Linked DNA regions of Xenopus tropicalis. The protein of the gene in region 1 binds, or shares a complex with, the protein of each later gene. Links are inferred from orthologs where the notes say so. Each region holds a gene or a part of one and is shown on either strand. Other genes may lie near its edges.

Region 1 (3,518 bases):
GAGCAACAAGATGGAGTGCAAAAGATTAACACACTCTCTCAGAATTTTTATAGTAAGTGTTAGAAGCAGATGACCAGATATACACAGTAGCTCTAATCAGGCATATTATACTAAATGGATAGATCTGGTAACGGTTTTTGCAGCTAACACTGCCAATTCCTAAAAAGGGCCATGTGTACAATAGAGAACTTAACAGGCATAACATCAGTCAGTAGCATAATGATATCGGATACTTTGTTTCCCATACTGTACATAAAGCCACGACATGTGTCAGCTATTAAATATGACACCACAATCTGTACAAGGTGGAAGCTGGACGTGCCACTTTCTAGCTGTGGAGGCTTAAGGCATGGCATACAGTCTTGCACACTAATCACATGCCATTAAGAGACAATCCCCGCAACTCTAAGTCAATTTATGGGCATACCTCACGGTCCTTGGACTTGGACTTACTTTTATGCAGTTCTATCTTTGAACATACTTTAAAAAAAAAAGTCAATTCAGCACTGTACCTATAAATGTGCGTAAGCATCTTCGGTCTTTGTACACCTCCCAGAGCTATTCAAATAAAAACATAAAATATAAAAAAAAAGTAAAAAAAAAAAAAATGGAAACACCTTAGCAGAACTGAGCATCACAAAATATAGATATCAAACAAAGAAAAATTTCTTAAAGGCAAAGACACAGGTTATTTTAAAGTGTGACCAAGTAAGCTAGTCAAAAAGTTAGTGAAAACATTTAATACAGTGAAACCTCAATTTTAGATACCCTGATTTTAAGTTTTCTTGCTTTTCACATTGATTTTTGTGGTCCCACCAATTTATAATGCATTTCAATGGGTGCTTTTCCCTGACGTCCCCAAAAATGTATGTTTGTCCTTTATAAATATTATTAGTGAAACAAAAGAGTGTTATAATACTAACCAACTGCATATTTTGCAATGTTATGGGGAGATTTATCAACATTTTTTGGATAAAAAAAAAAAACCTCAAATTTAAATTATGTTTCAAGAACTCGAATGTCTGAAACTTAATGAGTGCAAAAAACCTGAAAACTTGAATGTAAAAGTTCGCCACCTAAAAGCTTGTAAGTTACTATAAAAGTCAATGCGAAAAATCATTGCAAAAAAAAAAAAAAAAATGTTTTTTGTTTCAACGAGTTTTCTTTATTAATAAACAAGCAGTTGATATGTACGTTTATTCGATTTATAAAGACAAACTCAAATTCACAAACTCCAAAATTGATAAATAAGCCCATTAATGTCAGTCAATTACAATTAGTCTGCACCTCATATAAACATGCACACACCACTTATTACTTTAGGTTGCGCATCTGACCGTCAGAGAGGTCTTGTAAATCCCTCTGTCCACTGCTTAACCCTTGTCATTCACACACTAGGGGGCTGATTTACTTACCCACGAACGGGTCGAATGGAGTCCGATTGCGTTTTTTTCGTAATGATCGGTACTTTGCGATTTTTTCGTATGTTTTGCGATTTTTTCGGATTCTTTACGAATTTTTCGGATCCAATACGATTTTTGCGTAAAAACGCGAGTTTTCCTATCCATTACGAAAGTTGCGTAAAAAGTTGCGCATTTTGCGTAGCGTTAAAACTTACGCGAAAAGTTGCGCATTTTTCGTAGCGTTAAAACTTAACGCTACGAAAAATGCGCAACTTTTCGCGTAAGTTTTAACGCTACGCAAAATGCGCAACTTTTTACGCAACTTTCGTAATGGATACGAAAAACTCGCGTTTTTACGCAAAAATCTTATTGGTAACGAAAAATTCGTACAGAATCCGAAAAAATCGCAAAACATACGAAAAAGTCGCAAAATGTTCGTTTTCAAGTCGGAACTTTTCCAATTCGGGTCGGATTCGTGGGTTAGTAAATCAGCCCCTAAATCTTGTAAAACTGACTCCCTGTGTTTATATCCTTTAGGTACTTGAAAAATAAGTTAACACATTTCCCTCATTTTAGATTTTCCCAGATTTTACACCATTTTTCCTGGTCCGCTAAAAAAGTAAAATGGGGATTCTACTGTATAACAAATATGGTGAAAAGTTGATATTTTTAGTGGCCAACTATAATGACAATAAGATCAAGCCTTTTTGGAACATGCAAGTTCCTTTTTCAAAGCTGATAAGTTATTTATTAGAATTATTAACAAGATGCGTTGAAAGGCTGTCTCATCTATGTCTTTCATGGTTACATATCCATTTGGCGAAGAGAAATTCTCACCTTAATCTTGCAGTCCATGGAACACGACAACAGCAAATGTCCAGAAACTGGAAACAATCTTACAGCACTGACACCCTGCAAACCAAAAGGTTTTATAAAAAAAGGTCATATAGAAAAACTGAATGCAGTTGAATGATGTCAGAATATAACATTTTGTATACATCCTTAACCCCTTAGATTTTTTTATATTTGTTTTTTTTTATATTTTTTATAACACAAGTGAATTTGAAGGAGAAGAAAAGCCTAAATCACTGAGGGAAGGGGGTGCCAAATGTTTGGAACCCCCCCAGGGTTCCAAACATTCCGGTAGGTATCCAGTAGGTATCACCTACCAGAAACCCTGGGCTGGTGCTCGTGTTAGCAGGAAGCTGCACTAACTCCCTGAGCACCATCCACCTGCAATATCCCCAGGCCGCGCATGCATGGTAGAACAAAAAAGTTGGCTTATTGTTAAACAGGGGGTTTGATCAATGCACATTCTCTGGTCCTGTTTTACTAGAGATTTAGTATCTATGCAAGTGCATGTATTTACAAAAACAGGTGTCTCTCTAGTAAAACAGGGGACAAGGGAATGTGCATTGAACATAACCTAATTTTTGCATGCTTGTACAGTTATGGGAAACCAGTTATCCAGAAAGTTCCGAATTATGGAAAGGAAATCTCTCAGACTCCATTATAAGCAAATAATTCTGATTTTTTAAAATGATTTTCTTTTTCTCTGCAATAAAACAGTACCTTGTACTCGATTCTAACAAAGATATAATTAATCCTTATTGGAGGCAAAACAAGCCTATAGGGTTTATTCAATATTTAAATGATTTTTAGCAGACTTAAGTTATGGAGATCCAAATTACAGATTTCCCTTATCCGGAAAACCCCAGGTCCCAAGCATTCTGGATAACAGGTCCCATACATGTACTAATTTGGCCAGATCCATTGTAATTTTTATTGTACTTCTATAATTTACTTGCGGTTATATTAATCATGCTGTGTAAAAAGTGGAGTGAAGCATTACCGGTGATGTTGCCCAGGGCAACCGACCAGCAATTTGATTTCAACAGTTAGAAAACCAAAGCAAAGCATCTAATTGGCTTCTATGAGCAACATAACCGGTAATGTTTTACTCCGCTTTTTACACAGCATGATAAATATACCCCTTGGAGTGCTCCCACAACCCCCTCCTGTGTGTATTTTTGGGCTTTTTTTGTTGAAGTTCAGCTTTTCACTCTATTGTGCAAAGAAAGAAGAAGCAGGAGAGATATTGCTTCTTGGTGCTTG
Region 2 (3,518 bases), on another chromosome or scaffold:
TCTCGTACTTGAATTGGCAGTCCTAAGTTAAGGCACAAAACAAAAATGGGTTAAAGAAAGAATGGGATTCATCATGCAGGAAACAACAATACCCATACAAAAAGATTTTACTAACATCATCTATGTAACAGCAACATGTTAGCAGTCAACTACCCCTTCCACAAATCCTCCTTTGTATTTGCAGCTGAAACAAAACCTGTGTGTGGACAACATATTCCTAAACTTACAATATGGACAAGAGGCAAAATTGAATTTTGTATGAGAGTTTATCATTTACAAATCTTATTCTATGCATTAATTTAGTTTTAAGTTGATTCTCCTTTTCCTGCTCTAATAGGTTTTAAACAATATACATTATAAAAAGGAAACTTCTACATAAATACCACTTTATGTGTTAAAGTGTTACTACATTGTGTTCTGACACAGAACAGAAATTTGTAGTGCAGCTTAACACTGCTAATAAACCATCACCCCGTGACAAATCTTTGTTGCCGCGGACGACTAATCTCCCAGCTATGCCATCCCACCGGCAAGAATGTAAATCGCAGTGAGATAGCATACGCGTCGCTACAATTTGCCCAAGTCACCCAAAGTTGCCTTGAGAGCAAGCTTGGGGCGACTAATCTCCCCGTCTGCCACTGCCCTTAACCTAAGTCAGACCCCAATTAAATTAAAAAAAACCCACCATATTCAAGGTCAAGCAGACAGGTCTGACAGACATTTTTCAACTTGCTGCACGTTTGGCACACTTCGGTCTTCTTAAAGCGCATCCGAACACCAGGACACCAGCGGAACACAGTGAATGGACGAGCACAAATCTGAAAAAAATTTTTTGCTAACATCAAGAAAAACTAGTGTATTAAAGGACTTGAATTGCAATGATCAAAACATCCGCTTATATGCAAATATAGGATAGTAGCTCACTCCAAAGAGGAAACAACTGTGTATGTGAGAGCAGGCACTCAATGAGCAGTGCTCAAGGTATACAACTTAAAGTCAAGTAGATTTATTGAAATACCAACAGCAGAGCTAGCCTACCTGTGGTGAGTTTTATATTAATTTTTCTTTATTTCTGTATAAATCTCACTCCAATGAGGAAAAAATGTATTACAAAAAAAGGATAACAGGAGAAAATGTGTAGATGTGTAATGTGAAGAGTAGAAAAGAATAAAGGAAAGGACCAAAGAGGACATAATTAAGGCTAGAAGTCAAATGAAAAGAAAGGCTCAAGGAGACTATATAGAGGGAAAACAGGAGAAATTCAGAAAATAGGGTTGAGTGTTTCTTTGATTTGTTTAAAGTTAAGACATTGAAAGCAGATACGCTTTAAAAGGAGCTGTGTTAGCACGGAAGAAACTAATGCTTATTGATTCTCCAACACCTATGCATGACAGTATATGTATATCATATAAACCAGATACAGTCACTGCCCTTACTACCTCTGTAGGTAGTACTTTAGGTAGTACTGGCTTTCAAAAATAAAGGCTCTAAAGGTTTTTCCCCCACTTTAAATATGCAACATTATTAAGGACGGCAAATAAATGTCGCCTTGCCCCAAAACATAGTACAGGTATCGGACCACTTATCCAGAAACCCGTTATCCAGAAATCTCCGAATTCTGCACTTCTGTGCTAATAAAATTGTTGTATGCAGTGATCGTGTCATGCTGAAGAGGAATGGAAAGCACACCAATTTATTACCACTTACGTAAAAAACACTAAACTTTTAAGCGCACAATAACCCAATCAAGTGCACCTTTTTACTTTACCTTGCACTCCTTTCCATATTTTTCTTTGGTCTAAAAGAAAATGCATAAAGTTATTTCAATGAACTGAACAAATATTTTATAAAAATTCAAATTATATGCTAAAACAATTTGACATAAGCTGCAGATTTGGCAGTTTTAATATGAGTGGGGGCTGCCCAATTGATATCTGTAAGAAGCATACTGAGCAGATCTAAAAATTGCATCAGCCCACGTCTGCCTTCCTCTCCCAACAGGTGAGCATAGGGCCACGCTATGATCGAATCACTGGTTTAGGAGATCAGATCTGCCTGAATTTGCCAAGTCTGGCCATCCGCTTTTGGGCCAAGATAATGTTCATGAGGAAACTTCACAAAACGAACAGATCTTTTTGTGTATTGCCAAATGAAAAGAAACTGCACAAAGCAGGAGTCAATTGTTGGGGGGCTACGTAGCCCTTCCTAATTGCAACTGCTGCAAAGAATAGCACAATTTTTTTTTCAAGTGACAGTTACAATTAAAACATGAAGTTCAACAAGTATTCATGTAAAAGAACAAATGAAAATAAAGGGATGAAACATGCCACACTTACTATACTTTCAACTTACAATTACATTGAGGGGCAGTTGTTTTTGGCTCTAAATTCTAAAAAAGCAAGAAGGCAAAAGCACATTTTCTGATACATGATTGAGTACCACTGTAATAGCTTTAAAACTAGTCATTACTCTGATTATAAGGGCTCTGGCACACGGGGAGATTAGTCGCCCGCGGCCTCGCGAGTCTTTTTCGGCGATTTGTGCGAAATCACGCTGCTGCATCTGCCATCCCGCCGGCGACTTACATGTTCGCCGGTGGGATGGCAGGGGTAGGCAACTCGGGGAGATTAGTCGCCCGCGAACAGGGAGTTTTGCCGCGGGAGACTAATCTCCCTGTGTGCCAGAGCCCTAAAGCACAGTTCAACACTGGTACCATCTTGGAAACATACTGAACTAAAAGTACAGCCACCCTGACCGATATCTGATCAAGACTCAGACGCAAGTCAGTCAAAAAATTGTATAAGGTGGAGGGCACAACATGCCATTGTCCTCTCCAGACAAGTCTGTACATCACCCCTACGTAAGCTGTTTGCCCTAGGCCCTTCGGGTTCCCAAACTAGGAAAAATAGTCACTTATCTGGGGACATCAAGTTATACAAGATATAAAGATTTGTTTGTATTACAAATATAACATGGCAGCCTTTGTTTAACTAATTAAAAAAGTAATATTACTCAATAATATAGCTTACCATCCTGATGTATGGATTTTCGCCAAGACATGTCTGACACAAAATGGGAAAGTCCTGGAAAAACAAATCAAATACTCATTCCACAAGGAAGATAAATAAAGTTCACTTGTGTAGAGAGCCACAAAAGGCATCTGACTTCTGTTTATCTTTCTGTTTAAGTACTATAAGTGTTGTATTTTTATTAACATTTATTTATAAATGCAGTGCTGTTTAGTAGAAATATATATACACTGAACATACAGATAGCATACAAATACAACAAATAACAATAAAAGAGGTAAAGAAGATCTGACCCAAAAAAGCTTATTCTACACAAATGACATTATCTGTTATATACTGTATGTGTTCCCTTTCGCCCAGTTGCAATAGTTACAAAATTGCTGCTCTGTGGGTTTACAGCATTTTATTAGTATAGCTATATTAGTTCTTAAGTAAACACAATTTTTTGAACAGTGCAGGGTAACAGTACATTACTTTTTTTGGTTTTAT
Region 3 (3,817 bases), on another chromosome or scaffold:
CTACTTCTTTAGTTTCCATGCTATTTGCAGTATTCACACCAAGTCAGAGCCAGACAGATAGGGGAAAAGTTTCATTTGCTGATGCTGGAAGTGTCTCTGGGCTCAGTGCTGCTTGTGTCTCCGCCTGCACAGAACAGCAGGGGGCGCTCCTGTTACACCTTCATGATATTAACATTGTAAAAACAGATGAGACCCAGGAGGAAGGGCAATGCCAGGCTTTCCCACTGTATCTCTATGGCCTATAGAAGACAGTTCATTGGTTTTTACGCTGATTTCCTCTCACTGTTACACACATGACCCGTTATCTGTCGAAGCTGCCCATGTGGGAAATCCGTCCCAGCTCAGAACATACCTATTTCCCTCTGGTGAGATCAGGCACTTGTGCAGAGACGGGGGTGCTATCTAATATATAATGGTGTGCCCCCACCCAGGCCAGGGTTACGGTTGTGTGGGGTGCTCAGTACAGACCCCCAGGAGCGCACAGGATGATAAAAGTGGAAGATTTCTGGAAAACACTTTATTATTAATATTACAGTGAAAAACAAGTCAGAATTTCCTTATAAAAGCCGGTATGTGCCCGGCCTACGAGGCAGCACTGGGGCATTTGGGTGAAACAGGGAGACCCATCCCTGCGCCTATCAGCACCCAGGCAGAGACTACTCGCTACATTTCCAGAGTGAAGAGCCATAAAGCAACCAGAACCCCCAGCAGCGCTGCCCAACATGGCGCCAGAGTCTCTGCAGCAGGACCGGTGCTGTTACCCTGGAACCTGTAATCCTTGGGGCAGGGCCTTAATAATCTTCAATATTTTCCTTATTCTCCCCGCTCCTCTCTTTCAGCTGATAGACTTCATTCTCCATTTGCACAATTGCTCTCTCAATCTCGTAGTTTTTGCTCACAAGAGACACCCACCTGCAACCGGCACAGAAAGCAAGTTAGAGACAGACGAAAATGACTACCAGTTCTATTAAAGCTAAAATATTAGCATCCCATAAATACCATACACTGTACTAAGCACAATTCAGCAGGAACAGCCCCCTAAGTTTGCTCATAGCCTGTACAGAGAGATACCATAAAACTATGGCACATAGGGATTCCCCTGTACTAAGCACAATTCAGCAGGAACAGCCCCCTAAGTTTGCTAATAGCCTGTACAGAGAGATACCATAAAACTATGGCACATAGGGATTCCCCTGTACTAAGCACAATTCAGCAGGAACAGCCCCCTAAGTTTGCTCATAGCCTGTACAGAGAGATACCATAAAACTATGGCAGCATAGGGATTCCCCTGTTCAGCAGGAACAGCCCGCTAGGCACACTCAAAGCCTGTGTGTACTTCATTCATGGAAATACAGTATAGGGGAGTAGGTATTCCCTTGATAAGTTCACCCTAGGTGTGAACAAAATGCACAAATCTCACTTACGTTGACTCCATCTCTCTGAGTCGGGCACCTGCTGTCAGCTGGGAGTTCTTTCTCTGCCAGTTCAAGTCCTGAATCTTTTTCCTGTTCCGGTAACAAGACAAATAGTGAAAGCGTTAGAGCTGTTAAAATGGAAGTGTGCAACTGCTAGTAATACCCCAGGGCTAGGAACTACCCCACGTAGGTAACTCGAAGCTCATCCCAGTAATTACACAGGAACTGAGCTCTAAATCTCTGCACTTCCTGCTTCTGGGCTGCTCTCTTCCCCACGGCCAGGGAAGGATTATATATATATATATATATATATATATATATATATATGGTTAGTATGGGCTTAATGCCGTCTCACCGTAACTTCTGGAGATCTTTCTGCGCGCAGTCGATCATATGCAGCAGGTTCCTGGGAGGAGACAGAAGAATCACGTGACTGAAGGGCGGCAGTATCATTGGGTCATGCTATATCCTGTGCTGTAAATCAACACCCCCCCCCCCCCCCCCCCCCAACGCCATGTTCCCAACTCACTCGTTATAGACTTTCCAGGCGTTACAGCCGTGCTGGGACATGAGCTCCAGGTTCTCTATACGGACGGCCTGGTGTTCCAATTGGGCCATGGAGTTATTGACACATTCCTGCCACGCGGTGATGTCGTTCCTCTGGCCGGATAGGGGGGCCGGTAACTCATACCTAGAATCAGAGAGAGGGGTATGGTATTTCCACGGATACCCTTCAGCACAATGAGACCACATGGAAACCACAGGGCTGTAAAGCAATGCACAGATCTTGGTCCAGTAACCCATAGTAACCAGACGGCACTCACCTCTTCATGCTGAGCAGTTCGAGGGGCTGGCGCGACGAAAGTCTTTCAAACTCGTTCCTCATGATTTCAGTCTAAATAAAATGAATGAAAGTTGGAATCTTGGTCTCCTCTGTGAAGGGAACATGCCCCCCACCCACGTGATATTAGCACCAGTAGGTGCCAGGGTGGGCTCTGTGCATGCAAACCCCTCGGGGTTATGGGACTATGAAAGCAATCTTTGGAGAACTGACAGACATAAGGACGAGTAGTAGCAGAATGAATAATGAAGTATTAATATTTTGCAGAGATATCAAGTTGCTAGGGTCAAATTTACCCTAGCAACCAGACAGTGGTGTGAATGAGTATAGGGGAGGGGCTGGATAAAAAGTAACAGTAACAATAAAATTGAAGCCTCACAGAGCAATAGGTTCTTAGTTGCCAGGGTGAGTTCTCTAGCAGGGAAGCCATTTGGTTGGCCAATGTGCAACCACCGTGAATAGAGCAGAGGGGCACCCAGTGTAGGGTGCTGCAGAATAGGGAGAAAGCCATTACCTCAAATGCGGAATAGTCGGGGGTGGGCAAGTAACTCAGGTAGTTCTTTGTAGGCCGATATCTTCTGGTCTCCTCTTCCACCAAAGCTGCAGCCTGAGAGCAACACAGACCGGTTATTTACAGTAGAAATGCCCCCAATGGGAGTCATGTGACACACAGGGGCAGCACAGACCGGGTATTTACAGTAGAAATGCCCCCAATGGGAGTCATGTGACACACAGGGGCAACACAGACCGGGTATTTACAGTAGAAATGCCCCCAATGGGAGTCATGTGACACACAGGGGCAGCACTGACCGGGTATTTACAGTAGAAATGCCCCCAATGGGAGTCATGTGACACACAGGGGCAGCACTGACCGGTTATTTACAGTAGAAATGCCCCCAATGGGAGTCATGTGACACACAGGGGCAGCACAGACCGGGTATTTACAGTAGAAATGCCCCCAATGGGAGTCATGTGACACACAGGGGCAGCACTGACCGGGTATTTACAGTAGAAATGCCCCCAATGGGAGTCATGTGACACACAGGGGCCGCACTGACCGGTTATTTACAGTAGAAATGCCCCCAATGGGAGTCATGTGACACACAGGGGCAACACAGACCGGTTATTTACAGTAGAAATGCCCCCAATGGGAGTCATGTGACACACAGGGGCAGCATTGACCGGGTATTTACAGTAGAAATGCCCCCAATGGGAGTCATGTGACACACAGGGGCAGCACTGACCGGGTATTTACAGTAGAAATGCCCCCAATGGGAGTCATGTGACACACAGGGGCAGCACAGACCGGTTATTTACAGTAGAAATGCCCCCAATGGGAGTCATGTGACACACAGGGGCAGCACAGACCGGGTATTTACAGTAGAAATGCCCCCAATGGGAGTCATGTGACACACAGGGGCAACACAGACCGGGTATTTACAGTAGAAATGCCCCCAATGGGAGTCATGTGACACACAGGGGCAGCACAGACCGGTTATTTACAGTAGAAATGCCCCCAATGGGAGTCATGTGACACACAGGGGCAGCACAGACCGGGTAT

What was found. The genes of interacting proteins can lie anywhere in the genome.
Region 2: cdc40 (region 1) and rbm22 share a complex: the UniProt entries of both Homo sapiens proteins name them as parts of the postcatalytic spliceosome P complex. The link is inferred for Xenopus tropicalis from reciprocal best matches to the Homo sapiens genes CDC40 and RBM22.
Region 3: cdc40 (region 1) and bcas2 share a complex: the UniProt entries of both Homo sapiens proteins name them as parts of the postcatalytic spliceosome P complex. The link is inferred for Xenopus tropicalis from reciprocal best matches to the Homo sapiens genes CDC40 and BCAS2.

The regions. Positions count from the first base shown.
Region 1 is NC_030681.2:77,413,417-77,416,934, forward strand, and holds part of cdc40 (pre-mRNA-processing factor 17), read right to left. Parts: intron 2,316-3,518; coding exon 2,241-2,315; intron 559-2,240; coding exon 513-558; intron 1-512. UniProt on the Homo sapiens protein: Required for pre-mRNA splicing as component of the activated spliceosome. Plays an important role in embryonic brain development; this function does not require proline isomerization.
Region 2 is NC_030682.2:89,088,400-89,091,917, forward strand, and holds part of rbm22 (pre-mRNA-splicing factor RBM22), read right to left. Parts: intron 3,084-3,518; coding exon 3,030-3,083; intron 1,799-3,029; coding exon 1,769-1,798; intron 819-1,768; coding exon 686-818; intron 23-685; coding exon 1-22. UniProt on the Homo sapiens protein: Required for pre-mRNA splicing as component of the activated spliceosome. Involved in the first step of pre-mRNA splicing.
Region 3 is NC_030682.2:7,012,563-7,016,379, reverse strand, and holds the end of bcas2 (pre-mRNA-splicing factor SPF27), read right to left. Parts: intron 2,864-3,817; coding exon 2,771-2,863; intron 2,311-2,770; coding exon 2,240-2,310; intron 2,107-2,239; coding exon 1,945-2,106; intron 1,822-1,944; coding exon 1,771-1,821; intron 1,506-1,770; coding exon 1,425-1,505; intron 913-1,424; coding exon 792-912; 3' UTR 503-791; downstream 1-502. UniProt on the Homo sapiens protein: Required for pre-mRNA splicing as component of the activated spliceosome. Component of the PRP19-CDC5L complex that forms an integral part of the spliceosome and is required for activating pre-mRNA splicing.